2 linked regions of the Sus scrofa genome follow. The protein of the gene in region 1 purifies or fractionates together with the protein of each later gene. This does not show direct contact. Links are inferred from orthologs where the notes say so. Each region holds a gene or a part of one and is shown in the gene's direction. Other genes may lie near its edges. The genes, in order: RIMS1 and ERC2.

Region 1 (15,229 bases):
AGTCCAAAATCCAGGGATCAGCAGGGCCACACTCCCTCTGAAGTGCCCAGAGGAGAATCCTTCCTGCTTCTTCCAGCTTCTGGTGGCATTCTTTAGCCTGGGGACACATCCCTCCCTCCTCTGCCTCTGTTTCCACAGGACCTTCTTCTCTGTGTGTCTATGTTTCCACATGGCTTTCTTCTGTGTGCCTGTGCCTTCTCTCGTCTTATAAGGACACTAGTCATTGGATTTAGCACCCATCCTAATACAATGTGATCTATTTTAACTAGTTTCCTCCATAAAGACCCATTTCCAAGTACAGTCACACTCTAAGGTTCTGAGTGGACATGAATTTGGTCAGGAGAGGAGAGACAGTATTTAACCCACTACATGTGTCAAATGATAGAACATGACCCCATTTCCATGATTTTTCCACTTTGAAGTTATAATCTGAGTTATTAAACTTTCAGTTAACTGCAATGTTCAATTTTAGACATATTCTGAGAAATGATGATTTGAGGGTACCAGTAGAAAGGAGAGTTAAGAAACTTACCTGAGAGAAGCTATGTCTAAGTCATTATTTCTGCCTTGTACCCTGAACATAACATTGGAATTGACCTGAAGGGCATCTGATACATATCTTATGAATAGAGGTTTAAGACACTTTTCTGTAGACTTCATTGCTTGGGCCAGGAGCATTGCATGAAAAGTTCCATGCTCTCTAGTCAAGATTTCTGGATACCAGGCTTATAAGTTGGAGTTTTCCTTATCTAAAGCAAGTCCTCCCTTAGGGAAGTGGCACTTCTATTGCCATCCAAGTACATTTGGGAAATTCCAGGCCAAACCATGTAAAGCAGATTTTGTTACCTCAGTAAATAATTTCTTCTTAGTTAGCATCTTTTATTTATTAAGGTGCCTGGTGAATTTCTAAGAGGAAGGTATTGTGCCCGGTTTTCTAAGTTTATTGGATATTTTTTATAGAGTAACATCAGAAACTAGTCATCTGTGTCACACACCTTGGTATACCTACTTTGGGTGTTTGCTTTCTTATCTAAGTACAGATAAGTTCTGCTTTTCTGACAGCAAACTTGTAGAAGTACACTTCTCATGCATTTGAACCCCTCCATAATGGATAAGATTTCTGGCAGAAGGGGAGACACCAGTGGCTGTACAGTGGCACCTAGCAATTTATCAGTCAATTCATTCTCTCCTTTATTTGTTTATTCACTCACTGATTTCACATATGCTTTTCAAGCAGCAAGAAAGGAGTTATGAGCATAAAGATGATTGAGACCAGACTTCTTGTCATTAAATCCTCTGGAGAATACCCAGCAATCATCATTTCTCAAATTAATTCTTTTTTTTTTTTTTTTTTTGTCTTTTTGCCATTTCTTGGGCTGCTCCCGCAGCATATGGAGGTTCCCAGGCTAGGGGTCGAATCGGAGCTGTAGCCTCAGGCCTACGCCAGAGCCACAGCAAAGCGGGATCCGAGCCACGTCTGCAACCTACACCACAGCTCACGGCAACGCTGGATCCTTAATCCACTAAGCAAGAGCAGGGACCGAACCCGCAACCTCATGGTTCCTAGTGGGATTCGTTAACCACTGTGCCACAATGGGAACTCCACGCAAATTAATTCTAATAAAGGGAAACCACATGTAATGGACTGGATTGTGTCCCCCTAAAATCTGCAGGTTGAAGCCCTAATCCCCAGTACCTTAGGAAATGACTATAATTGGAGATAGGACATTTAAAGAGGTAATTAAGGTTAAATGAGCTCATAACGGTTGGAGCCTTAACCCAACAGCAATGAGGTCCTTATAAGCAGAAGGAGAGATACAAGAATGGGCATGCACCAAGGAAAGGCCATGTGAGGACACAGTAAGAAGGTGGCCAAGGAGAGAGGCCTCAGGAAAAATCAATCTTGCCAACACCTTGATTGTGGATTTCTAGCCTCCAGGACTGTGAAAATAAATTTCCGTTGTTTACGCCATGCAGCCTGTGGTATTTGTTATAGCAGCTTTAGCAGTTGAAAACAACACTGTTAATTGTTCATGATGCCCTGCCTTCAAGAACTTTATTCAGGTAGTTCTAATGTCTACTGAGGACTTCTCATTCCATTATTTGTATCTTAAAAGTACTTCATGAGGACCAGATTGCCTGTAAACCTTTGGAGGACAAGGCGCCTATTGTATCTTCACCTTGACCGGCAGAGATGCAGGCATCTGGTAGAATGAATATGTCAACTACCTTTTTCTTCCCCTCTTATATTAATCCTGGAGAGATGGCCTGAAACATCTCTTAGGGAGAGCAACAAAAAAAGAAAAAGAGAACTATAACGTATTAGAAACATCACTAGATGCTACAAATACGTCTTCTCATTTAATAGCCCTTTTATATCTTGAGGTAAGTATCTTTACCCTCCTCTTCAGATGACGATGCAGAGGTTCAAAGAGGAATTGAACTGAGATCATAAAAATCCCTGGTAGAGCCAGAATTCAAACTCATTTTTTCCTTCCTGAATATATGCTGGCCTGAGGAAAATAAGGATAGAATTTTAAAATGGAGATGCTGATTAGAGTATTTTCATCAAGTGCTTAATTAGAGAAAAGAAGAAACCTGGCTGGACAGCAGCATGTTTGAAAAAGAACTGGAAATTTTGGTGGACTAGGTGTTTATTTCAGTGACATCCTCACAATCAACGTGGCTACCAAAAAGCTAGGCCAATGTTAAGTTATGTAAGTAGAGTTGATTTACAATATTGTGTTAGTTTCAGGTGTACAGCAAAGTGATATATATATATATATCTCACTGCTATGCAATAGACACTTGTTGGTTATCTAATTTATATATATATATAGAGAGAGAGAGAGACAGACAGACAGACAGACAGACAGAGAGAGTACTGTGTATAATTTAATTCCAAACTCCTAATTTATCCCTCTGCCTTCCCCTTTGGTAACTATATGTTTGTTTTCTAAGTCTGTGAGTCTGTTTCTGTTTTGTATATAAGTTCATTTGTATCATATTTTATGTTCCACATATAAGTGAGGTATCATATGGCATTTGTCTTCCTTTCCCTAGCTTATTTTTCTTAGTATGAGAATTTCTAGGTCCTTCCATGTTGCTGCAAATGGCATTATTTCATTCTTTTTATGGCTGAATAATATTCCATTACATATGTGTACCACATCTTCTTCATCCTTTCCTCTGTCAGTGAACATTTAGGTTGCTCCCATGTCTTGGCTATTGTAAATAGTGCTTCAATAAACATGAGTGGATGTATCTTTTCAAAATATGGTTTTCTCTGGATATATGCCCAGAAGTGGAATTGTTCTTGATATCACTATTCAGGACGGCTAGTGAAAAAACACAAGTGCGTCCAAAGGCAGGTGAGGAGAACAAGCAGACTTTGAAATCATGATACATACTTTTGGTTTAATAAACTGGAAAGGTTTAATCTGGAAAAAATTAAAGATGACCTGATGGTCATCTCAAATAGTTGAAAGATTTTCAGGTAAAAGGGGGATTTAGATATAGAGATAAAACTAAGTGTTAGTGAGCCTTCTATTACTGAGATTATTCAAACGGATGTATCCAAGCAGAAGCAACACCTGCATTCAATGTGAGATCAAGTAATTAAACTCTTTATTTTTTATTTTTATTTATTTTTATTTTTTTGCCTTTTATGGCCTCACTTGTGGCATACGGAAGTTCCCAGGCTAGGGATCGAATTGGAGTTACAGCTTCCAGTCTATACCACAGCCACAGCAATGAAAGATCCGAGCCGTGTCTGTGACCTACACCACAGCTCATGGCAACACCAGATCCCTGATCCACTGAGCAAGGCCAGGGGGATCATACCGGCATCCTCATGGATACTAGTCAGATTCATTTCTGCTGCACCACAATAGCAACCCCTTAAATTTTTTTAAACTTGAAGATTTTAGGATTTTTAGGATTCATAAACAGCATCAACATTTTCTTCTTCTTCATTAACAAAGATAGGCTTGGAAGAAAAAAATATCAATGCTAGATCACTTCTGAGCTATAGAAAGACTTCTGCAGGAGATAAACATATCAATCCTCTCATCACCATTTCTAAGAGAAACTATTGTTTAATTCGAAGCCTTGTCTATATTGATTCCTTTTATAAATATATTAACAAAATTCAGTCTCCAAGTTTAAAAGCTGATAACATTAACTGTTTTGAAAGGATTGTCTATTTATTTTTGCCTTTATCAGCAAGAGGAGCTCATCCTTAATGCTTATCATTGGGCCAGGCACTGAGCAGAAGCTTCTTACAATAGGCTGTGGTGGGGCGTTTTTCTTATCTGGGATCAGTGCTCCTTGAGAAGTACCTGCAGAGGCTACGAAGTGAGTACATGATGATAGCATCATTAGAGGAATTAGAGTATATAATCCATTTGCAGGCACCAGAGATGTGCGGTTATGTGATGAGATGGGTTGCCCAGAGCCCGAAAGGACAAATTAAAGATGCGCCTTGGTGTGGGGCGTCTGGAGGGGGAATTCGGATACACCGCACAACAGCCCTTCTGAGGATGGGTCAAGAGAGACTGCGTACAATGGACCCAGACAATCCAGGCCTTTGAAGGGGAGTATGTGTATCAAAATTATCTTTAAAACCACATCGCGGTGGCAATGAACACTTGATCGGTAAATCAGAAAGATACGGTAGGGGAAAAAAAATGCATGCAGAGGGTGTTCCATCTCGTTCAGAAGAACATCGTGGTTGCTCAAATATTATTACTGCTCCACGACGAATATGGGAACGAGGATGATGATGATGAATGCAACCCATGGAAAAATAGGGCTGGCGAGAATGACAGAGCGGAGGGACCTGGAGAGGGAGGATGAGTCACGGGCGAGGGGTACCTGGGCTGGAGCGCAGTGGTGTGCAAGTTGGCGAGCGGGGGGAGCGACGGGGCGCGGGGCTGGGACCGCGAGTGGGCGGGTGGGCGCCGTGGGCGGAGCGGCTCCGGGGCTGAGCTGCCGGCGGCCGTGTCTGAGAGCGAGCGAGGCAGCATCACCCAGAGCGGAGCCGCCGAGACTCCGCCTAACTGACACCCAAACTCTCCTCCCGCAGCCGCGGACGGAGGCGGCAGAGCCGGAGCATCCTCGGCGCACCCGAGCATCCTCGCCCCTCGCCGCGCCCCTGCCCCTGCCCCCGCCCCGCCAGCCGAGGCCCGGCTGCGGGAGGCGGCCGGGCGCCCGCGCCTTGCCAGGGCCACCAAAACAAAGGCAGCATCCGGGGCTGGGTGGAGGCAGAGGACCATGACAGCCCGGGCTCGCACGCGCCGTAGCCCCGCCGCCGCCGCCTCCGGGAGGGCCCAGCGGTGAGCCAAGCAGGGGAGCAGCTGCCAAGCGTGGATTAGAAGGTGCGCCCGCGTCGAGCCGAGGCCCACGGAGGGGCGGGCAGGCCGCGAAGATGTCCTCGGCCGTGGGGCCCCGCGGTCCTCGCCCGCCCACCGTGCCTCCCCCCATGCCCGAGCTGCCCGACCTGAGCCACCTGACCGAGGAGGAGAGGAACATCATCATGGCAGTGATGGACCGGCAGAAGGAGGAGGAGGAGAAAGAAGAAGCCATGCTCAAGTAAGCTGGCCCGGCCGCGCCATCCGTGCCTCCATCGGTCCATTCGCCGCCCGGTACCCAGTCCTCCCGGCTGAGTGTGGGGGAGGGGCGGGCCAAGATTCTGGGTGCGGGCGGAGGCTCCCGCCTGAGGGCCGGGGGGCGGGGGGTCCCGGCCGGGCGGAGGCCGAGGGTACAGGTGGAAGGCGGGGATGCAGCCGAGCCCTGCTCCGAGGAGCCCGGAGAGGATAGCTGGGGACCGAAGTGCCAGGAGGACTGGGTGGACCGGGCCACCCGGGGTGGGATGTGCGGAGGCTGAGAAGAGTCAGTGCCCCAGTGGAAGGAAGGGCCCAGCCAGAGCAGGTGAGGGGCAGGGCTGAACCGCGGGAGGGAAGGCGGGGTGAAGAGCTGCCGAGAATAGCTCCTCTTCTTTCCCTGGAGTTGTTTAGCAGGTCGGGATTACCCCCGCCCGGGATGCCAGTATTTATCTAAGTAAAACGCTGATTTTGAGTGCTCATTTTGTTACTAATTCATTTCACAGATCGAGGCTGGGTCTTTTTTGGGGGGCAGTTGCCATCTTTGGTAACCTGCCTCCCCAGCTTCTCTTTAACCTTTGATACACGGTCTTCTACGCGGAATACCTGTGTGAAGACACAGTTCTTCCCAGTATATAATGCCATTGGCAATGCAAAGTTTTTAATGATGGGAAAAGCTGATGGAGACTCTGGCCTGAATAAAACAGAGGTTCCACTTTACTGGTTTCCAAGAGACCTCGGGGCCTGCTGGGTTCCTGGATGAAGCAGGATAAGAGGGGCTGAATATTTGCACACATCCCTCCTTCTTTAAAGCTCGTCAACCCTGCAAGGGTTCTCCGTCCAGCGCCCCGTTTTCCTGGGTCTGGGAGGGGATGGGGCTGGTGGCTGGCGATGCAGGCATGTGTTTCACTGCACTGCTGCTTGCCTTAGTCTCAGGCAATACAGTTCACAAGGTGCTGGCCTCCCCACCTTCTTCCTTGCACAAGTGTGGTGGAGCTGAAAGGGACTTGAACCCTGCCTTACCCTGAAAGGGCTTCCTGTATTCAGGAAAGTTTTCAACTTGGCAGTGAGGGAATTTAGAAGCCCTGACTGGGACTAATTCCTTGGCATCCTCCGTTAAGGCCAGACGGTGCATCTGGGGGCAGAAAACTGGTGTGAGGAGCCAAAGGGAACCTGTTGCATCTGGAGTTACTGGAGAGCAAAGAGGAACAGCAAAGGGGTGACCCCCCACACCCAGTCACACCCTGCTCTGCCTCTCCCCACCCCTAGGATTGCTGCCTGGATTGGAGATGCTGCCACAGAAGGGAGGTTTCTTCCGCTTCTCTCAGTATAGCAGAACCTCACAGGAGAGGGCTGGAAGGAGGCTGAATTCCCAGCCTGATGGGTCTCCCCCCGTGCAGCTGCTACCCAGCTGGAGAGGGGGTATTGAGGGAGAGATGTGGGGGCCGGTCACAGCACCAGAAGAGAAATCCAGTCATCCCTGCCCTTTCATCACAGACTCCAACAGGGGCCATTAACTCAGAAGGCCAGAGCCAGCCTGCTTCTGTGAAGGCAGCAGGTTTCCGAATTCCCTGCTCCTTCTTATCCAAAAAACAAATACTTTAAGCCTGCCGGCTGGAGGGAGCCAAAACCCTCCTTAATCTGCCGCCCAGCCCTGATGGCACAATGACGTCCCTAGCGCTGCAGGCTTCCCCTCTTCTGAGACTGGAAGTAATGGATGGTGTCTGCTGGTGCTGCTGTCTGTCTGTCTGGTTGTCACTCCGTCTGTCCTCACTGGTTGCAGCCCCTGCCACCTGTCCTGGGCACCTCTTCTGCTGGTCAGAATTGACAGGGTTATTTCCGTTCCTTCTGGTGTTGGCTGCAGATGGCAGGTGGACAGAGGCCTCCAGCAGCCAGTGGAAAACAGGGGTCTGAGCAGGAAGGGAAGGCACAGTGCAAGCAGGTGGCCATCACGCCTCTTCCTTGGCTGTTTCAGGGCTGGTGGAGAGTGAGGGTTTTAAATGGGGGGGGGGGGTGAGTTCCACAACCGAATCTCAAACCTGCTCACTGCCTAAGGACAGCAGCCATCGAATCACATGGGCTTGTAAGGGACAAAAGAAAAAAGAAGAACACCGTCCAACTGTTCATGTCTAAAACCTCTTTCCCGCTGCCACACCTGTGGCTACCCTCTCTGGCCAGTACGTGGTGATCCTTTATTGCAAGGATTCACAAAACATCTCAGTATGTGATGCTTTTATACAACAGCCCTCTCTAATCCCAGGCCTCAACACTAACTTTATCAGTCAGCCTCCTCTGCTACTGTCTCGGCTTTTTGTGCAATGGCAGATGGGGGATGCTTGGGAATCCATCCCCCGCCCGAGTTTGCTGCCATGTAAGCCTGTCCTCGCATCCACAAATTAGTGGGACAGAGCTCAACTTTTTTCTAGAGGGTACTTTATGTCTTAAAAACTGAGGACTGTTGGAGTTAATCAGAGGACACACATATATGGGAACTCAATGACATAGTCACAGGTGGTGACCCTTTCTGAACTTTTCAAAAAGATATATTGGGAAACAGGAGGTTTTTCACAAGGCTTTGAACTATTTGTTAAAACCAGAGATGTGTTTCTGTGGTAATGGATGGTCATCATGGCACATATCTGAGAAATGACTCCCACAACAGGCCCTACAAAGCTGAAGTTCTAGGAACAGAGCATTTAGGCTTAAAATTCACTTTTGCAAAGCCATTGCCTTGAGCTATTGTGTGTGCTCTCTGTTCATAATATATAAAAATAGGCCTTAGTAGAGAGAAGAGAGAAAACTGATGGGTGAATATGCCAAAGAAATATTATAAAATATCAATTAAAATATATTTATACAGTTTCATCAGCCCTGATTGTATATTACTCTTCAATTTGGTCCTGACAATGTCTAAATATGTATAAACGACAAAGAATAATGAAGCTACTTTCTCCTCAAGATTTCAGAAAAAAATTATTTGAAATTAGAAGCACTTTGTCATAAAAATAATTCATTTTGTTGGCAAAGTGCACTAATTTTAAATACCATTGCCATAACTAGAAATAGTTGACTCCTGCAAGTAATTTCTAATGGTGGGATTTAATTACCTGCAAATAGAAGGTCTTTCTTAATTTTAGTAGGCTTTGGGGCTGTGTACGTAGGTGTGTGTGGGTGTAGGTATAAATGTGTGTTCTGGAAGTTTTTTGAAACCTAACTTCTTCAATGAAGACTCCTTCAAGTAACTGTCACCAGGCACCATGAGCCAATATATTACATGGATTGAAAATTGCATTATCTGGGACCTAAATCAGAGAAGATCTCATTTGATCTAAAATCTTATTCCTTTTTTATAAAATCTTCATAGAGAAAGGAGCTACAGAATAGCAAGACAAGAGAAAAAATATAAAGAAGCAGAGAGTGAAAATGATGGCTTGAGGCTGGGAATCAAGAACCATATTGGAATATTTAATAGAACTACTAACATTTATTGAGCATTTACCTCATGCTGGCCATTATTCTAAGTGGCTTTTGAATCAAAAGCCAAATAAATAGTTGAACTGTGTTCAAGTTCAATAGATGTGTATTTGGATTCTCACAACAACTTGTGCAGAAGGTAAGTCAGGTCACATAACCCACAGATCCTTATCCCGCACTCAGAGTTCCTGTAATACCTTGAGTTGACTCACATGAAGTGGCCCAACCAGGATTCAAAGCCAGGCTCTTCATTCTAAGTCCAAGTATCGTCCCACATAGTATACTGTCCTTCTACCAAGATGAAGCCTGGATTTCATCTACCTCTTCCTTATATGAATATCTCTTCTTCCCTTGGTTTCAGAGAAGGGGCTTGGCAAAAGGTTGAGCTGATTCAGAGGACCAGCTGCTGATTAGAGGAGGGCCTGGTGCTTTACCCAGACTCTTAAGAGAGTTTCCCAGTGGATTGAGGGCAAGGACATTGTCTCCAGTTTGAAGATATAACAAAGATCATGAAAAGACCATTTTTTGCATCCAAGCATTTGGGAGTTTAAGTTCTAGTGCTGTCTCTTAAATAGTGTAAGTGTGGCCAAGAAATTGCATTTGGGATTCTGTGAGGTTCTCTTTTTCTTATAAATCCTGCAATTCATGGTGTGAATTGATTTATAAAGTATATTGACTTTGGACTTGTCCCTCTTTCTTAACAGGGACCCTCACACCCACTAAGTCTTCAAACATCTGTAATATGAATATTTACTTCCTTTGTAAGGAAGAGTGACACAGTAGAGGGGTTGAACTCTTATAGCGAAGCTTTTCTTCCTCATTTTTCTCCCTCCAGCCACTCATAATATTGTGACCCAAAATGTATACAGAAGGCTCAGCTTGAGAGACCCCAATTAGCAACTGGGATAGAGTTAAGGACAGAGTCCCCAGGAATGCAGGTAGCATGTTTTTACTGAGTTTTGCAAAGGTCTTGCACACCCAAATATTCTGTCCTATTGCTGAGGCAGGGATGGGTAAGGAGGGGAAAGAGAAAAGGCAAAGAGTAATTGGAGAAAGCTGCTGAAATATGAGCAGGTATCTACCTGTCCCCAGATCCTGTGTTAAGTAGAAAAGTCTGGGGGAGAACATTTACCCTTTCACCCAGCGTCTAGTCTCCTTCACAGCCCTAATGGATAGGATTAAATGAGGGAAAGTTAGCCTTGAACTATTGCAGTTTTCTGCTTTCAGCAAAAACCTACCTTAGTAAATGTGCATGCTTAGTCCTAGGCCCCCGAATGCTCATGGAAAAAATTCAGAAGACAGAAGCCTAGAAGGAAGGAAGGAAGGAAGGAAGGAAGGAAGGAAGGAAGGAAGGAAGGAAGGAAGGAAGGAAGGAAAGAGAAAGAAAGAAAGAAAGAAAGAAAGAAAGAAAGAAAGAAAGAAAGAGAAAGAAAAGAAAGAAAGGAAGAAAAAGAAAGAAAGAAAGAAAGAAAGAAGGAAGGAGGGAAGGAAGGAAGGAAGGAGGGAAGGAAGGAAGGAAAAAGTGAGGTGTTATCAAAGAGAATGGAGGGTAAGAAACATGACAGTTCACATTTTTGCCAGCCTGCCTTGGCTCTCGTTTACCTCTATGTATTCCTTCTTAATTGGAAGTGAAGGGACACTCTTGTTGAAGTAAATGGATTACTAAGTTTGAAGCAGAACATGCAATGTGAGCTACAGGTGTCACTGCTGTCTGGAATAGAAACATCACCTCGGGAATGTTACTTGCTCAAGGTGATTTTGAGCTAACCCTATGCGGTAAGCAGCCAGCTTCCTGCAAAGACATCAAATAGCAATTCCGGCCGTCATATTACTGTCCTAACTCTGTAATATGCAGATGGGTATGCTTGCCATACCATGGATTTTAGAGTCCATGGTATTGCATTTCATTTGTATTTATGGAGTATTTTATATTTTTAAACAAATTTTTAAACAAATTTTTTGCACTTTGTCCTGTGATGGGTGTTGGGTATTTTAGAGCTGGTTCTGAGTGTTGTAAGCTGGCCTGAGGCACATGGAAACTTAATAGAAGCTAGACCCTACACACATGGACACGGATCTTCAGTAATCTTGGAAGTCTTCTAAAGTGTATCAAGGTGTGGGTACCATGGTTTTGTTTCCTCTTCTGTTGGGGAAGGAGCTTAACATTTGAATGTTTCGCTGGCTACTGTATATCTTTTACTCCGCCCCATGCTTACCTCTTGAAAGGTCTACCCTGTGAGAATTCTATTAGTTACTATTAGTGAAATTCCCAGTACTAGCTCAGTGCCTTCCTGACCCTGTGCTCATGACATATGATCCTGAATCTGGAGAATAAAATTTAAAAAGGAGCAAGAGAAGATATCACATAGCCAATGACCTTTTCCAGCCTTTTCTGAGAACCCCAGGCTCTAGATCTTCCCATAGGTGAGAGGATAACCCTGTGGGCACCAGGGCTTTCAGATCTGACTGCTTGGCTCACAGTGTTCCCTAGTGCCTGAGCACTTCCCACCATGTTCCTCCACCATGAAGTTCTCTCTTGTCCCTACCGTGTTCCAAAGTTGATGTATTAGGTAGACTATTTCTGACAAAGTGTCAGGTGATATTCATTTCAACAATAAGACCATTGTTTTAGGTATTAGAATTGGATCAGGCATTGTGCTGTTAAGTAGAATAAAGAGAGAGGTCCTCAGCTTCTAGCTCAGGGTTGGCTTAGTTCTTACCATTTTAAAGGTGCTCTGGCCAGAAAGAGAGGTGAGCATCGGGTAGTTGGACAGAGCAGTGGACTAGATTGTGCTCCGAACACTGTCACTTTCTATAGGTGTAAATGTCAGTAAGTTAACTCCTCTGAGGCCCAGTTTCTTTCTGTGTAAAGTGGAGTTGATAATGCCTGCCCTTCTAACTTACTAAGCTTTAACGTGATGGTAGAGACACCCTTAAACTTCAAATTGCTGTACCAAAGAAAGGGATCATTGGAGTTCCCATTGTGTCTCAGTGGTAACGAACTCAACTAGTATCCATGAGGATGCAAGTTCAATCCCTGGTCTCACTCAGTGGGTCAGGAATCCAGCGTTGCCATGAGCTGTGGTGTAGGTCACAGACATGGCTGAGCTCCCACCTTCCTGTGGCTGTGGCATAGGCTGGCAGCTCCAGCTCTCCAATTTGATCCCTAGCCTGGGAACCTCCTATGCCATGGGTATAGCCATAAAAAGAAAAGAAAAGGGCCATTATTATCTTTACTCTGTAAAGCTGTAAAGAATCCCCAAATCATCTTTTCCTGAGATTACTGCAGCTTTTAGAAGTCCCATGGAGATGGGTTCTTATAGAAAAATTAATCCATGATATCCTGCCAGCAGGGTATGTGGCCAAGGCTGCAGCTCCCACAGTGAGAATTTGGCAGAGGTCAAAGGTAAAATGAGTCCAGAATCTGATCTGAGATTGTATTTACCTTCTTTCTAGCTCATAAATGTCTTTAGCAAAAAAGAGAATTGTGGGGAAAAAAGATAAGATTTGAAATAACTAGAAGGCGACCCTAAATCAAAAATGAGAAGAGAAATTAGCCTAGGATAATTTCCACATCATTTGCTAGGGGAAAAAAAAATGTGGAGAAACAGACTAATGGTTTTTGTGCCACTGGATTTAATAAATCATTCACTTTAAATTAGCTGATTGAGGGGCCATGTACTTGCCAAGGAGTAGTTCCTCTTTCATGTCAGTTTATTAGGTGATGGAATAGATTGCATGTGTTTAAGAACTTTTAAAGATTCTGTGCTGGATGTCTTAGGCTTTCTGTATGTATATTCTTACGCTTTTACATCCAGTTTCTGTGCATTTATTTTGATCTAGGTCAGTGTTCTGTGGATGGTGAGAGGGGACTATATTACAGAATTGACTTTCAATATTCCTGCCTCTGTGGCTAACTTGTGAAAACTTCCCTGACACACCAACATTTATTTTAATATAAAAGGATTTTTTTTTTTAAAAGTGACTGTTGGAGTTCCCGTCGTGGCACAGTGGTTAACGAATCCGACTAGGAACCATGAGGTTGAGGGTTCGGTCCCTGCCCTTGCTCAATGGGTTAACGATCCGGCGTTGCCATGAGCTGTGGTATAGGTCGCAGATGCGGCTCGGATCCCGAGTTGCTGTGGCTCTGGCGTAGGCCGGTGGCTACAGCTCCAATTGGACCCCTAGCCTGGGAACCTCCATATGCCGCAGGAGCGGCCCAAAGAAATAGCAAAAGACAAAAAAAAAAAAAAATAATAAAGTGACTGTACAGGTTGGTTTTCCCAGGACAGTATCTGTTGATGTCTATCTCATGCTATAATGATGGCTAGTACCCCATTCTTTCAAGTTGAATTTTAACCTGGATGATGAATTATATTGTCTCCTTCTTTGTAAATTTTTCTTTCCCTGAACAAAATTATTCATTTAAAGCTTCAGAAAGTCAGACAATTAACTGTCATAAAATACAGCAATTAGTAATTATCAATAAGTAAGACAAGCAAGTTGTAGACGTAGAGCCTTGGAAATCATGGTTTGGTAAATGGAAAGACCTTTGCTGAGAAGGAGGAGTTATCTTTTATAGATTCTTTCATGGTAAAGTTGATTTTAAAAGTTCATATCACTTTTCAAATAACAGTAAGCAGGAATGCAACTGCGTGCAAGGCTCTCTGTGAAGACTCCCTTTGGGCCTTGCAAAGGAGCAGCCCACAGTTTAGGGAAGACACTTAAATAGATTTTAGGATGCAATATTTTGATAATTCTTCTGAAGTTTAGATAGTAAAATAAGATCATGTTATAGAAAGTAATTTTGTGCAATTTGCAAGTAATTAAAATATTTAATTAGCTCTTAAAGAGCCATAATGAACTAAACAGATATCTTTATATAATATAAAAGATAATACCTTGCTAATGATTTGCATATAACTTAATACATATTTTTCATATTTCCCACCATTATGCCAGGTAATTATTGTCTGGGAGATGCCATTATATTTACATAGAGAAGGGATGTGAATTAAAAACCAATTAAGGTATCTGTACTGTCATGTCTTACACAGTATCTCTTCTTTTAATGGACTTTCAGGCATGATATGCTTATTCACAAATGGGGATGGGTATAGCAGTTGTTATTGATAGGGTTATATGGTTTTATTTGCCAGACTTTATGTAGTCTATTTGATTGGCTCCCAACTTACATTTCTGCAAGCAGAGCATTCTTGATCGATATTTGAGCAGTGTTCTTAATCTCAAGAATATCAAGTTATTTGAAAGTTTGAAAGTTGTAAGTAATCAGTGCACAAGCACCACGTGACACATTATTGTCCTTGTCATTTAAACACAGATCTTCATACGGGCAATGAGAAGCTCTTTGTTTGCATGGCTGGCTATTCTGTGTTCAATTTCTGGGGTTTACATTTTAGAAAAATGAGGCCAGTGGTATATGAAATATCTTAGGAATGTATGGAGCAATGTATCAGGGTTCTTTAAATATAGGGTAGTATATATGTTCACATCTAGAAGGTCTATTCAGGTCAGACAGACTACTTACTGTCTCAGTAGAAAGAGATGAAAACAAAATTAAAGTAACCAAATGGCTTCGCTTTTGTATTTCATGCATCTTAGCAGATTCATCTGCCTTACCTGTCTCTGTCTTATAATATATTGGAGCTTAAGTCTTCCTTCTTAACTCTTTTTTTTTCTGGAGGAAAAAAAGGATATATTTTATATACTGGTATCTGAAATAAAGGAATATTGAAATAAGCTGGCTGATTTATTTTTGGATATTACATTTTTGGTAAAAGTAAAAATTATTAAAATATTCTACTTTGACGTTCTTCATGATCATCATGACAATTGTCATAAAAGTATAATTTGGGAAAATAAAGTACAGTAATATCTTCTTGTAATTAGGCTGGATATTTCACTTTACAAATGTCTGTGTCCCCTAAGCCAAATCTAGCCACCTAATATATAGCAATCTGGAGTAAAAACTTGATACTAGTCTGAAAAACAGACTACCATCTGAGTATCATTCCAGACACAGGTATTGGAAAGGGAATCCGTGGTATCTGAAGCTCCAGAGGCTGGAGTGCTAATTGTCACTGTTGAAAAGAAGTATGGTTGATTATCAGCCAGGTACCTTTCTAGTCCTG
Region 2 (15,129 bases), on another chromosome or scaffold:
GGATAAATATGATGTATTTTATTTGCACTCCTAGCAGAGTGACTGCAGAGAGAAGGTGGATGCCCTTTTGTTGCAGCTACTTTGACTGTTTTAGCTGAAAACAGCTTTGTTTTCTTCTGTGGTGTTCTCAGTGGTCAGCTGTGGAGAAGGAAGTTTGCATTTTGAGCTTAGATTTCTTTGAGGACAGCTAGAGGATGATCCTACTATCAGGGTGGGGAGTAAAAAACTTTCTGAATATTCATCCAACCAGGTTCACTTTTGTGCTTGAAGGGAATTAGGTGTTCCAAGTTGATAGCAGGTTGATTGGGACCCTGGTGATGTCTCATCCTGATGCAAATGGATATTGGAAGGGATTTTCTCTCCTAATGTGCAGTGGGGTGGAAGCAAGAGGAGTGGTTGAGGCTTTGGGAAGCTGAGACCACTGTGATGACTGGGAGATTGCAGAGAAATGGCCCTAGAACACAGCCTTAAAATTTGCTTGTTTGTAGGTACTTGATGCAGGTAACAAACTGAAAGGAATGCCCTTGGCTATTGATCTAGTGAAGTTTAAGTGGCTGCTTCAAAGAAATGTGCTTTCATGGTTGAGAAGGGAAAGACGATTCAATTTGAAGGAATTGGATAATCAAGGAATGGAGGAAATTGAAAAAGTGTGTATCTTTTAAAATTTTTTTTTTTTTTTTTACTTTTTAAGTCTTTTGACCTTTATAGAAAGTACTTTTGGCTTTGCCAGAGTTTTCACCTGTACTATTGTATCCTGATCTTTAAGAGTTATTGTTTTTTAAAATTGAGCTTGTCTTCTGATAGCTACATAGAAGCTATTACTACTTTTGCAAGGACTTAGAATGGCGGTCTAAATAAATTACCCTTGGAGTATCCCAGGCTATTTAACTACTGGGTAGGACTGGTGATGCAGAGGTTAAATGATTTAGCTTATCTCTCATCCTCTCAATAAAAGACACCACTGCCTTTTCCTAAGTTGTCAAAGCGGAGAGCCCCACCCCCTTTTGGTCTACTCTTAGGGTTATTGGAATACATACCAGGATGGAGTCCAGGATCCCAGAAACCAACATCCTGGATTTGGCAATGTATGTGTGCTCTTGGGCCTGTCAATTAACCTTCGTGGATCTGATTTTCTCATATATAAAACGAAGTTAACAAGCTAAACTTTAAGACCTCTTTGAGCTCTAAGAATGCTGATACCATGCCATCAGCATGTCAGGTGGGTTTTATCTTTTAGAATGTGGGTTTTTGTGCTGTTCTCACAGCAGCAAACCCTATCCTATCCTCGTTGGTATAATCGATTACTGTTTACCTGTTACTTTTAAGAGCTTTATATGTATTAACTCACTTAATCCTTATAATAACCTTATGCAGTAGGAATTATTACTCTCTCACTTTTCCAAATAAGAAAATTGAGACAGAGAGGATATTAATTTCAGTGGGTTATTTATTAAAAGTGCTGTTACTTTATTTTAAAATTGAAATTGTCTATGTTAAATATCCAACTAGATATAGATATATGGTAAATAATTTTTGAAACTTGATTGAGTTGACTCTTTAAAACAATGAGGGGAAAGAGAAGGGGAGAGATTGTTTTAAAATTTCTCCCCATCCTATGAAGCAGAAAGATTATCAGTGTTCTACGAGGTACATTCATTTTGCTCAAGGATCCATTTTTAGAAATAAAGAGATTCCTGCTTATCTTTTTTTTTTTTTTTTTTTTTTTTTGTCTTTTTGCTATTTCTTTGGGCCGCTCTCACGGCATATGGAGGTTCCCAGGCTAGGGGTCGAATCGGAGCTGTAGCCACCGGCCTACGCCAGAGCCACAGCAACGCGGGATCTGAGCCACGTCTGCAACCTACACCACAGCTCATGGCAATGCCGGATCGTTAACCCACTGAGCAAGGGCAGGGACCGAACCCGCAACCTCATGGTTCCTAGTCGGATTCGTTAACTACTGCGCCATGACAGGAACTCCAAGATTCCTGCTTAAATATTTTAAAAGAGAATGGCTTGCTCAGTGGGTTAAGGATCCGGTGTTGCCGTGAGCTGTGGTGTAGGACGGTGGCTACAGCTCCGATTTGACCCCTAGCCTGGGAACCTCCATATGCCGCAGGAGCAGCCCAAGAAATGGCAAAAAGACCCCCCCTCCCCCCGCCAAAAAAAAAAGGAGTTTCCGTCGTGGCGCAGTGGTTAACGAATCCGACTAGGAACCATGAGGTTGCGGGTTCGGTCCCTGGCCTTGCTCAGTGGGTTAACGATCTGGCATTGCCATGAGCTGTGGTGTAGGTTGCAGACGCGGCTCAGATCCTGCGTTGCTGTGGCTCTGGCGTAGGCCGGTGGCTATAGCTCCGATTCGACCCCTAGCCTGGGAACCTCCATATGCCGCGGGAGCGGCCCAAGAAATAGCAAAAAGACCAAAAAAAAAAAAAAAAAAAAAAAAAAGAGAGAGAGAGAGAGAATGGAAATACATGATATGTGAATTTGAGAAATTTTTGAACACTAAATTTTAGGTTGATTTATCAGACTGGTCATGCTTAGATCATTCAGTCTACCTGGAAAATAAATTTTACTTCTTAATAAATGTGCAACATGGAAGTATGTATCATGACAACTTCTGAATAAGGAATAGCTTGGTTAGTATTTAATTTTAAGAATTTCTGTAACTGTCATAATTGCCTGCCCATCTCACCACTCCTGCCCACCTCCCTATTCTTTATTTCAGCCATCCTGAAGTATTTATGCCAATTCAGAGGTCAGATGGTATAGCGATTCATGCAGGGGTGCTGAAGTCAGACTACCTGGATGAACACCTGGTTGTGCCACTTGACTAGCTAGGTGACTTCCTGCAAGTTACTTAACCACACTGGCCCTCCATTTTCTCATTTGTTAAATGGATATCATAATAGTGGTTACATGACTGAGAAATTGTGAAGAAATAAAAAACTTAGAACTGGGCCTGGCTTGTGGTAGGGGCTATAGAGATTTTTGCTGTTACTGTTCCATAATAGGTCTGGTCTGTCTTTGCCTCTGGGGTTTTTTACTTTATTTACTATTTCCATCATTCTCCACAGGCTTAACTTTCATTTATTCTTGAAGACAAAGCTCAGTAGTAGCTCTTGGTTTAGGGTATTTTCTTACATGTGTCCAGCCTGGGTTACATTCTCTTTGCATTTCTAACCACATGGCTATGACTTCTATTGTATTGCCACTATCGATTTATTTGTCCACATGGATTGGGAGCATGGACCATTTCTTTTCCTTTGTTTTCTATTTTGATATTTCAGGAGTATAGAAAGACACTGGGTAAATGCATATTGAATAATTAAGTGGATTGATTTTTCCCTCCATTCCTCTCTCCTCATTCTTCTTTTCTACTTTCCTTTCTACCAAACTTCCTCCCTCCTTTTGCCCTCAAACCTAGCACTTGATGCATTATCTGAATTACTCCTCACAGAAACTCTATGAGGTAGGTATTATGATTATCCCCGTTTTGCAGGTTTGGAAGCAAAGGATGAGGGCAGTAGGCAACTGGCTCATCCAAACCTTTAACAGAGTTATCTTCCATTGTTGCTGTTTTGCTCAAAGCATTTTGGCAGTTAAATTAATTAATTAATTAATTATGATTTTTCCATTATAGTTGATTTTTTTTTTAAATTCCCTACTGGCTAGTTTATGTGAACTGCATTAGAAAGTCAGTCTTATTTTTGGTCACTCTCAGAAAAGGTGATTTCCAGTGTGATCATCCTGATTCCTCATGTTTGTCTCCATGTAAACTTGGATTGTCTCAGAAACCCAAGCCATGTTCAAAGGGCAAAGATTTGCCAGTGTCAAGAATGTTTAAAATGATTTGAGGACAGTTGCAGACTCCCAAGAGGCTTGGCAACAGCCACGTCAGTGGGCTGAAGACGGTTGATACTCCTATGGACTTTGTTTTGCTGTGGTTTAGGGATGGTTGGCTGGTGGAGGGGGACCACATCATCTTATGACCCCACCTAATGTTTTCTTTTGTGACACTTGTATTGAAATATAATTCATGAACCATACAGTACACCCATTTAACATGTAAAATTCATTTGTTTTTGGAATATTTACAAAGTTGTGCAACCAACAACACCACCACTAAGTCCAGAACATTTTCATCACCCTCAAAAGAAACACTTTAGCAGTCATCTTCCATTCTACCCAAACCCGCCTGATAATCATCAGTTTATTTCTGTCACTGGACCTGGTTGTGCCATATTTTATGTACTCTTTCATCAGTTGATTGACATATAGGTTGTTTCCACTTTCTGGCTACTATGAATAATGGTGCTATGAATATTTGTGTATGAATCAACTTCTGAATAGATAAAGATAATGTGGTATATCCCTGTAATGGTAATATTCATCTATATTAAAATAGAACGAAATATTGATACATGCTATAACATAGATGAACCTTGAAAACATGCTAGTGAAAGAAAGAAATCACTAATTGCATGATTCCATTGGTATGGAATGTCTAGAATAGGCAAACCCATAGAGAAAGAAAGGAAATTAATGGTTACTAGGGCCTGGGGTAGGGAGAAGGGATGGGACATGACTTCTAAAGGGTACAGAGTTTCTTTTGGGGATGATGAAAATGTTCTAAAATTATTTGTTTATGGTTGTACAACTTTTAACTATACTAAAAAGCACTGCATTTTACATTTTACTGGGGTGAATTATATATATAACAGTTGTTTACTTTGAATTCAGTACCCTGGCACGTATTGTGACACATACCTGAGAAAGAGTAGTTGTTTGCCATGCTCTAGGAATTTCTCAATGGATTTTCCTAAATGGAAAGTTTGGGTGGACACCAATGAAAAGTTTAATAAAAGTATCACTTGGTGCTAGTTTCTGGATACAGGCCACACTCAAAAAAATCTCAATCTCTCTGTGGAATTCAGAAGGGTTTCCAAATGTGGACTGCTCCAATATTTATGTAACTTAGATAGGGTATTATCCATTCCTTATAATACCGAGAGTTCCCTTCAGGCAGGATCTAGGCCCCCCCTTAGGTTCATCTTGATTCCCATATTTGTCATTGTGTCTGATCTGCACCAGGGAAACGTGTTTGGTGAATGGATGAGTAACTCTGTTTTGGAAGCCTCCTGCCTTCTTCCTTCCTTCAGTTTATAGCTGCCTGTTTTCATTAGCCTGGGGGTTGCCCCGTGGGGAGGGTACTGCTGAATTCACCAGCTGTCTTCATACAAGGGTTTCTTTTTTCACCACTGGTAACTACAGCACTTCACTCTGATTTTGGTTAAAATATTGACCTGGAATGATAGGGGGGTACTTCTGGAGTGTTGTGTATTCCTCCCTGGTAATATACCTAAGATATTGGGTTCCTGGGTCAGTGAGATTTAAATAAACAAAAGGTAGAATAAACCTCACTTTATTTTCTTTTCTAAAATCACATTTATGAAGCATTGATATAAATTCTATGTAGCTTATGGGCCTTTGCTGTAATAAGAAATCGCTTTTCTTTTTCTTTTTTTTTCTCTGTGAAGGTACTTTATGTTGATTAAGTTCTTTCTGTTAAATATCCTTGCTTGCACTGGACTTTTCTTTGTGTTGATTTTTGCTTCATTTTTTTTTTTTTTTCATTTCCCACGCTGTTCAGTTACTGGATGCCAGAAGAACCAAGGTTTGTCCACTCTTTGCGGCTCGTTCATTTTGCTCTGCATAGCCTCACTTTCTCCTGTGTATGAGTGTGTTTGTCTCTGTCTGCATTTGTTCCCTTTTGCTTGCAGATGCAGTAATCCTGTTTACTAAACCTTTCACAGCTTTATTTGTAAAAAATAAAGTCCTCGTTTGTGTCTACTTGTAGTGGATGCTATTATTTTTATTTTTAAACAAACATGCATTTATCACAGAAAATAACAGTAGAATAAAGAGCACCCTAGGAAACAAGGAATACTGATTCTGGAGCATTGTGGATGTAAAGAAGGCGTGTTTGTGAAAGTTTCCCTCTAACCCTTTCCAATTCCTAAATTAAAACTCTGTAGATGTATAATTTACCTTGTGACTGACACTAATATACTGTTTTCTGTGTATGTGTACATTTCTCTTATGACATTCAAAAAGTATCATTGAATTAATTCCCCCTCTCCATGTAATGTGCCATGCTTCCGAAGTCACCCTGGAGGACTTCGCAGCTGGCCCTCTGGACCTCATGATTAACATTCCATCTTCATAGTGTGGTAGCAGCAAATAGCAGTTGGCATTTCCATTGACTTTTCCCCCTTCTTTCTCCTCTCCTGCTGTGTCTTTCTCATCATAGCACCTGCAGTTGACAATCCAGGCCCTTCAGGATGAGCTGCGAACCCAGAGAGACCTCAACCACCTCCTGCAGCAAGAGAGTGGCAACCGAGGTGCAGAGCACTTTACCATTGAACTGACTGAGGAGAACTTCCGGCGGCTCCAAGCCGAGCACGACAGGCAGGCTAAGGAACTATTCCTATTGAGGAAGACCTTGGAGGAGATGGAGCTGAGAATTGAAACGCAGAAACAGACCCTTAATGCCCGAGATGAGTCAATTAAAAAACTTCTTGAGATGTTGCAAAGTAAAGGTTTGCCGTCCAAAAGTCTTGAGGATGACAATGAACGGACGCGGCGGATGGCAGAGGCTGAGTCTCAAGTCAGCCATTTAGAAGTGATTTTAGATCAGAAAGAGAAGGAAAACATACATCTTAGAGAGGTAAGATCACTTTTTCTCATTCCCCAAAGCAATATTTTACAACTTAAAACATGTTAAATATGTTATCAAGATATTTTCACAGGTTGGAAGATATCTATAGCCTTAACAAAATTCTTTTTGTCATCTGTTTTATAACCTTCCTATCTAGTTATCACCTTTAAACTGAAATTTTGCATTAGTCTTTTTTTCCCTCTGTTAACCACACATATGTTCCATTATTATTCAACACGTATTCAGGATCCAAGTGTGTGCAACACATGTCAACTCTAAGGTGGTTTACAGTTGCTTTCCTACAAATGGCCATTGTTTCAGGGCCTTTTAAATACAGTTACTATTTAAGTTTTAAATGTTTACCAAATATCCTCTTTTTAAAGGGCAAAATGATTAGTTGATTAGCAAAACAATGATTATAAGTACTTTTATATCTGAATTTGGGATAAGATTTTTAGAAAGTAAAGCCTAAGGATGTTTCTGGAAAGAATGGTAAAATGTGCAGACCAATTTTGAATGTTTAGGTAATCTTTGCCTGCATTTATATTCATGTAGGACAGAATGTTCCAGGTTTTCTGAGTATGTGTTTTGCACTTAGTGAATTAAATCATTTGAAGTCCCTCAGAGGCAGCCTCTTTGGCTTGCCACCATCATTGAAAGTTGGGATGCTCAGATATCTGAGAATATGTGGTTGGATAGATCTTAGAAAGAATGTGGGTGACAGCCAAGGTTTGAAATTTTTACAGCAGTTTCTTGCCACTATGGTAGATAGGGATCTCAGAAGTACCACACAGGCAAAATGCTGTGGCAGACACAGATCTCACAGAAAATTGGAATCAATGAAATGGCATTGAGTATATTTTCAAAATATTCTGTAACCATAAATAAAAATTCCAGAAGACATTTGCTTTCAGACCAGACTAGATTTCCTGGCCATTATATACATTTTCAGATGGGCAGCCTTTCCAGTGAGTCACTTTTTTGGTTGTTCAGAAAACGTGGCTTCCATGTTGGGAATTGCTAATGCAGATGCTACTAGGAGTTTTCTCTGACAGAGATTGTATTTGCCTACCACATTTGAAAGGACTTGTATTTTCAGGCTTAATATCTTCCATGCTTATTCTCCTTTGTTTTGTTTTCATGAGACCTTAGGTATGTATTTGGGAAATCATATGGATTGGTTTTACCTTGAGACACTTCAAAATATGTTTTATTGGGTCTAGTCTTCCAATCCACATTCCAAGAGAGTGAATGTGGTGGCAAGGCTTCTAAGATGGCCCCAATGATCCCTACCTCTTGGAATTCATATGCTTATGTAATTCCCTCTCCTTGAGTATAGGCTGAATCTAGTGACTTGCTCCTAAGTAAGAGAATGGCAAAAGTAATGGGATGCCAGTGTCACTTCTACAATTAGGCTACATAAAACTGTTAATTATATCTTGTAGGACTCTATTGCCTTCTCAGCTTACATGCTTCCCCCCACCCTTTTTGTGACTGCACCTGTGGCAAATGGAATTTCCTGGGCTGGGGTCAAATTAGAGCTGTAGCTGCTAGCCTTTGCCACAACCATGGCAACACTGGATTTGAACTGCACATACAACCTCTGTCGCAGCTTGCAGCAACGTTAGATCCTTAACCCATTGAGTGAGGCCAGGGATTGAAATCACATTCTCATGGACACTTGGTCGGGTTCTTAACCTGCTGAGCCACGACAGGAGCTCTGTTTGCTTTGATGAAGCAAGCTGCCATGGTGGAGAGGACCATGTGGTAAGGAACTGAGAATAACCTCTAGCTGATACCCAGGGAGGCAATGGGACTCTCACTTAAACAGCCACAAAGACCTGAAAACTGCCAGGAATCACTTAGTAAGCTCGGAAGTGGATCTTTTCCCCATTTGAGTCTTTGAGTAAGATGACAGGTGCTGGGCGGACAGGTGCTGGGCTGACAGGTGCTGGGCTGGTGCTGAACTTGATTGCAGCTTTCTGAGAGATGGTGAAGCGAAGGACCCAGCTGAGCAATGCCCAGATTCCTGATCCACACAAACTCTGAGATAATACCTGTGTATTGTTTTAAGCTGCTAAATTTTGGGCTGATTTGTTACACAGTGATATTAGTGATAGCTAATACAGTGGTGGAGAAACCAATCTCTTCCTGTCTTACTACATAGAGTTTCCATTTAGTTTATAGAAGAGAAGTAATGATTACTGGCATATCATCATTGCATGTAGAGTGTCTGTGGATTCTGAGATTTTGGTTGTGTTATCTCAAAACTGTGGTTGGTAGATTTCTATAGTTGGAAAAAAAAACCTGCTGCTTTATTTTGGGTGCCAAGGGATCATGTTGCATGTATAGCAAGACTGTGGTACAAGAGAAACCTTCATCTGTAGCATTGACCTTCACTCCATGTTGGATCTTGGGGCAGGATAGAGTCGCTCTTCTTTTTTATTAGATTCTGCTCATTGTTAGCAATTAATACATGGCGCCTTGATCCTATTGTAGAAAGCTTCATTTAAATGGATCTAAACATAATTTGGTTGATATTTTATGAGATCAGTTGGTCTTCACAGTGATCTGACATGAATATACATCATGTTTAGACATTTAAACATTAGTCTAAGAGTCCATAGAGAATGGTACAGAAAATGTAGCCCAAAAAATCCAACTATTTTGTTAATGGAACAAAGTCAGTGGATAGCCCTTATCTTGGCTCATCAAGAAGGGAAAATGTGGAAAAAGGTGCCTATAAAAAAAATCTTATTTTAAACTCAAACTCAGCAAACAAGTTTGGAAAGCCTGAAAAGGCCTTTCTCAAGAGAGAGAGATGATAATGGCTTTCGAGAGCCATTTGTTACATTTCTAGGAATTTCATGAACGGGCTTGTAAATCATTTATAGCTTGGAATTGTGGGCATATTTACACCATGGAAATTGGCAAATGCTCCTCTTAGGGTCTACTTATCCTCTTCACCCCATCCCTGAAATCTCACTTACCAATATACCTCTGAATAAATGTTATGAAATGTTTACCCAAAATATAGCAGGAAGAGTCAAGTTAAATAGTGTAAGAATTATGATTATGAATGCCTTCACCATTCATTGTTCATCAAAAGTTTTCATAACATCATCTAGCTAGAAGTTTATGTTAGGCACTATGAAGAGTGCTTCACATTTGTCTTTCTTATGATAATCTGTAGTTGTATCTATGTTACTGTGAATGACATCATTTTGTTCTTTTTTATGGCTGAGTGGTATTCCATTGTATATATGTACCACATCTTCTTAATCCACTGATCTCTTGATGGACATCTAGGTTGTTGCCATGTGTTCACAATTGTGTATGGTGGTACTTTTAACATAGAGTGAATGTATCTTTTTGAAATAAGAGTGCTTTACATTGATTCACAGTTAATTCTCACAGCCTCATTTATTCATTCACTCATTGATTTATTCATCCATCCACCCACCCATCCATTCTGTGACTACTTATGTTTTGGGATAGAGTAACTGATGAAGTTTGAGTTCATGGGTACATATTTTATTGAGGTGAAACAGATAGCAGTTTAATAGTTAAACAGAGAGTTATCATGAGGAAAAGAAGATAAAGTAGTAGTGACCTGGGTGGGGCTAACTTCATATTGCATAGTCAGGGAGGGTCTCTGGGAGGGGGACATTGTGAACTTGATAAAAAGTAATCAGCCATCTAAGGCACTGAGAAAAAAAAATTTCTAACTTGATGGAAAGGCCTATTCTTAGGAGTTGGTGCCATTATTTTGCATATATTTGCCTGGAAACTGAGGGACAAATGACATGAAGAAGCTTGCCTAATGTTTCACAGCTAAGAAGTTGTAAAGCTGGTATTTAAATTAGGCTGCATCCAGAGTCTCAGCTCCTTAACTATTTCTTATATCCCTTTTCAGAAGAATCTTTCTCAAATTATATTTCACAGAACAGCCATTTTGTGGAATATTGATATGTGTTGTGAGAGACAAAGGGCTGCAAGGCCAAATGAACTTGGGGAAAATGTTGAATCCCATAGAGCTTATTGCGGGACTCTGAGACTCTCAAGTATGCAAATGTACGTCAGTCATTTCCAAGAAGAGGACAAAGGAAAGCAGAGCTTCTTAAACTTATTTGATTTGTTTTTTCTTGTTATACTGATGTTCTTTGTGGAACAATTTGGAAAAATGCTATACTAGAACATAAAAATTGTGCTTTTAATTTGTGACCTATAAAATATGTAATATACAAATAGTTGTTTCCCATGGCCAAAAAACTGGGTAATTTCCTCCATTAGTTATTCTAGAAGGCAAAGTTTATTGTAAGCTGTTTCCATGTTCTCTATTGAGTTTTAGAATGTTTGTTCTCCTGTCAGGGTTTTTTTTTTTTTTTAGTGGAAAAAATGTGGCTGACTGATGTTGGTATTGAACTGGTAAGAATAACCCAGCTTGAATAAAGAAGTTTCCTGACCTCTGTTAATTTAAATGAATCTAAAACAGGATTTAAAATATACTTGAGGTTTTAAGTTCAGTGTGTTCCTGATTTCTTTTTCATTTTGCACGATTCAACCCAGTTGGGGCTGAATGGTGTAATGCTGGGGAATGGAGTGCTAGTGGTTTTATGATTCATTCTCAGGCAGAGGTGTTGGACCTCATATAAACCCCATCTCCTGGAATACTGGCCTTGTTTAGCTTATTGTTTCAGGAGATTTAGAATTGGCAGGAGTTGCACATGGGGAGGGACAAGTTGCTTTAGTATCTTGTTATCTTTCAGTGGTCTGGAAAAGGCTGAGGGTGAAACCACTTCTTTGCCTGGCAGGAAACAACAACAAAAAGATTATGATCTCAGCTTATTTGGAAGACTAGAACTGTTGCCCAAGAACTGCAGTTGACAGGCTAATGTGAGCTGAAGTGTTGGCTGAAGTGCAGCATTACTCACTAGTGTCGTCTGATGCTTTTGGATACAGGTTGATTTGATAAGACATTGTTTGATGTGGTAATAGTTTACCTTGTTCTCTAGCTTTTTCTACAGAGAACACATTGTTCCATATAAAGGTTTTAGTAATCAGGTACCCAAAATACTACTGATCTCATTAAAGAAAAAGTGGGTTTATATGCTAGGATCCTCCTATATTCATTCTCTTTAGTATTTTCTTGGCTGATCCTTCGAAGAGAGTCAGGAGACTTTGAATTATTTACTGTAAGATGTTTGAAGGGAAAGGATGTATGTTTTGCTGCCATGCTTGTTGATCTCCTATGCTAATCCCCATGGGCAGCTTGCCTGTCTTTGAAAGGAAGGGCAGAAGAGCACTCAAATCATTGAGGGGCCACAATTGCTACTAACCCAGCCCATGAGATATTAGGCCTGGGTGTCCCTCCATGTTGTTAGGGGGCAGGGAGGAGGAGGGCAAGGCAATATGAATTCTTGGTCTCCTCATTTATCCAGGTGTGCCTAGGCCAGTGAGGGAGCCACCAAGGTAAAGTTGATGACCTAGAAGTTCTTGAGCTCATAAACCTTTTACTGATAGTTGAAACCTCCCCTGTATAATCTTTGCCCAAACTAATCTCCACCCTATTTCCCCTTCTCTCAAAACCATATGGCCTCTTTCTCTTTTACACACGCTTTCTCTAATTCTGCTGGCTGAGCTATGATTTTGCTGTTGCAGGCATTTCTAATTCTGACTCTACAAATTATACATTCTATTTTGACCAAGAAATCTTATCACAGAAAATATTCCCAAACACAAATGACCATATAAACGTAACATCTTACTTTCTTTTGCAAGAGTTTTATATATATATTAAACATATATAATAGAACCTAAAAATTGCTCCCTATTTTAATAAAGTAAGCTTTTAACCTAATCAGTACATTCCATCAGTATTCCCAGGCCTCAAATATTGCCTGCAAGATGCTCAGTAAATATTTAAAGGGTGAAAAATAGCTTAAAAATACCTTGAGAATTATCCGGTGGTTTATTTTGTCAATATTGGAGAAGCTATAGTTGTAAAAGCACCATATTCTTTTTGTTTTCTCTGTCATTGCTCTATGTTTGGAGTGGAACAGTGGCTTTGAGAGTAAGCTTAACTGGAGGTTCTGTTTTTTCAAAATGTGTTGAATATCATTGGGCACATGTTGAACATCCATATGCAGGATGCTGTGGGAGCATCCATGGAAAGTTTATAGTCTTGTTCAGGGGTTCAGATGGGTAATAAGAGAAATAGCTCACACTTATTGAGGCTTATTCCATGATAGATGCTGTACTAAGGGAAGACTGTTGTCATCATCCCCAATACATAGTTAAGGAAACTGAGGTACAGAGTTAAGTATCAAGCATTGGATACACAATCAGAACCCAGGAAATCTGGCTCCAGGGTCTATACTTGTCACCACTATACACTGCTATACTAAATACTACTATTTCTTGGGGTGGTATACTAAGAGGACCTCAAGTGGCACCTTGCTGTGTAGCTTAGATGTAGGAGAGCTGGCAACTGGTTTCATACCTGATAAACTGGTCTTCAGAGGCAGGAAGAACTTGAACATATAGGGGTGGTGGAGAAACATGATTGGAGAAGAGATGGTTGAGCCAAGCATTAGAAGGGACAACTGTGGTGTGTTTTGGTCATAGTGAGTTTGGAGCAGCTGGAGCTTTATCTGTCAGGAGAGAAAGGAAATAAAGCGGAATGAGTGTTTGAGGTCAGATTACTGAGGGCTCTGAGCATGTGACGTAGGAGATTGGTCTTTACTTGGTAGGCTCTGGGCAGCTTTTGAAGGAATTTTCCCTGGAGAATAGAATGATCAGAAAAGATTGTTAAGTACTAATTGGTAGTGTATTGGCTAGAAAGATTCTAAAGGCATGGAGATAGGTTAGAAGGATACCACTGTTGTTCACATGACCAAGAAGTATTTAAGTTGAAGGGCAAGGTCATCCCCATCTGCAGGCAGAACTTGGACAGCTTGGAAACTGAATGCAAGGAGTTGTGATGAGTAGACAACCACATCTGCTGGTTTGTCAGCAGACAACCACATCTGTGGGCCTGGGTGTACGCAGATGCTGGGACAGAGGGTAGGAGAGAATTGTTGTGAGGAGGGGTTGGGGTTGAGGAAAGGCTTTGGATGTATTGAGTTTGATGAAAATCCTGATGGAGCTGTCCAACCAAAGTTGAGAATATAGCTGAGGAAATTATTGTGAAACTCTGCCCAGATACACAATGCATTTCTAACTATTGGTCATGTTTGGTGGTGGTGGTGGTTGTTGTGTGTATTTTTTTTCACACATATCTTATTATTTTTGCCCACCAAGCTTCCAGTTTGGGCGATTGTTCTAAAGGCTGCCTTGTCACAGTTATTTAGGAGGAGACCTTAGGAACTGAATGGTTCTTCATGACTCATTTCTGAATAAGTACTTGATTTTAAATACGATATATCTTTTGAGATTGCACGAACTTTTCATTTACTGGTGCCAACTTGATGCAGTTTGCCTTTGTTCTCATTGAGTTCCATTTTCTATAAGCATTTCATGCAGGATAGGTCCCAATGAAGAATCTTTATAGAGAAGCACTCTTTCTGGACCCTGCAGCAGCAGATTCAAAAGCATGGTTTCATAACTTTGACCCTTACATTTCTGATGACATAGGAAATGTATTTATTTCTGCTGAGCATCATTTGCCTCATCTTTAAATTCTAATACATTCTTTGAAGTTTGAACACTGCATGCTAGTTTGAAATGATTTAGGCTTTATCCCTTATTGATTTGAATGAGTATAATTGGTTACTTTTTACAGTAACAGATAGTGGTAGAGCCCCAGCAAGTCATTAGGCACAAGGCATATTGCAGCCTTCTGAGAAGAGAAAGTTGCAGGATAGAGAGAGGGGTATGGGTAGGTGCCAGGCAAGGTGAAGAAGTCAGGACATTATACTGGGAGAGATTCTGATTACTGTCCTCATCGCCCTGTCTTCCTGCTCTACCTTGACTGGGTCTGCTTTTTGAAAAAAAAATTTTGGTATTTATCATTGTCATCATTTGATGAAACAGTGCTCCACAAATAAAACCTCAGTGGTTAGAAAGTTCTCCAAGCACTGGGAGTGTGGATACTTAATTGTGTTCCACAAGCTGAGCAGTGGGAAGTTGCTCAGCTATAACAGAGTCCTGAATGTCTTAGATGGGAATATCAGCTAATACCTTACATGTGGAGAAAGCTTTGTAGTTTATAGAACACAGTCTATTTTGATGATTTTCTCCAAAGCTCCTGGTAACACTGGAAGGAGACTGAGGCTCAGAGAAATAAAAAAGTGGTGACTGATAACATTTACCGGGTACTCATGAGCTAATCATCTTTTGGGGAGTGCCATTTAATCCCCCCAATACTCTGGTGTTGGGTGATGGTTTACTACTGTTCAGAAGAGGAGGCC

The links.
Region 2: the proteins of RIMS1 (region 1) and ERC2 purify together in Homo sapiens (affinity purification with western blotting; 3 studies listed by BioGRID and IntAct, with this or other methods). This does not show direct contact. The link is inferred for Sus scrofa from reciprocal best matches to the Homo sapiens genes RIMS1 and ERC2.

Annotation. Positions count from the first base shown.
Region 1 is NC_010443.5:51,780,092-51,795,320, forward strand, and holds the start of RIMS1 (regulating synaptic membrane exocytosis protein 1), read left to right. Parts: upstream 1-5,108; 5' UTR 5,109-5,428; coding exon 5,429-5,592; intron 5,593-15,229. UniProt on the Homo sapiens protein: Rab effector involved in exocytosis. May act as scaffold protein that regulates neurotransmitter release at the active zone.
Region 2 is NC_010455.5:38,179,054-38,194,182, reverse strand, and holds part of ERC2 (ERC protein 2), read left to right. Parts: intron 1-5,650; coding exon 5,651-5,674; intron 5,675-6,310; coding exon 6,311-6,727; intron 6,728-15,129. UniProt on the Homo sapiens protein: Thought to be involved in the organization of the cytomatrix at the nerve terminals active zone (CAZ) which regulates neurotransmitter release. Seems to act together with BSN. May recruit liprin-alpha proteins to the CAZ.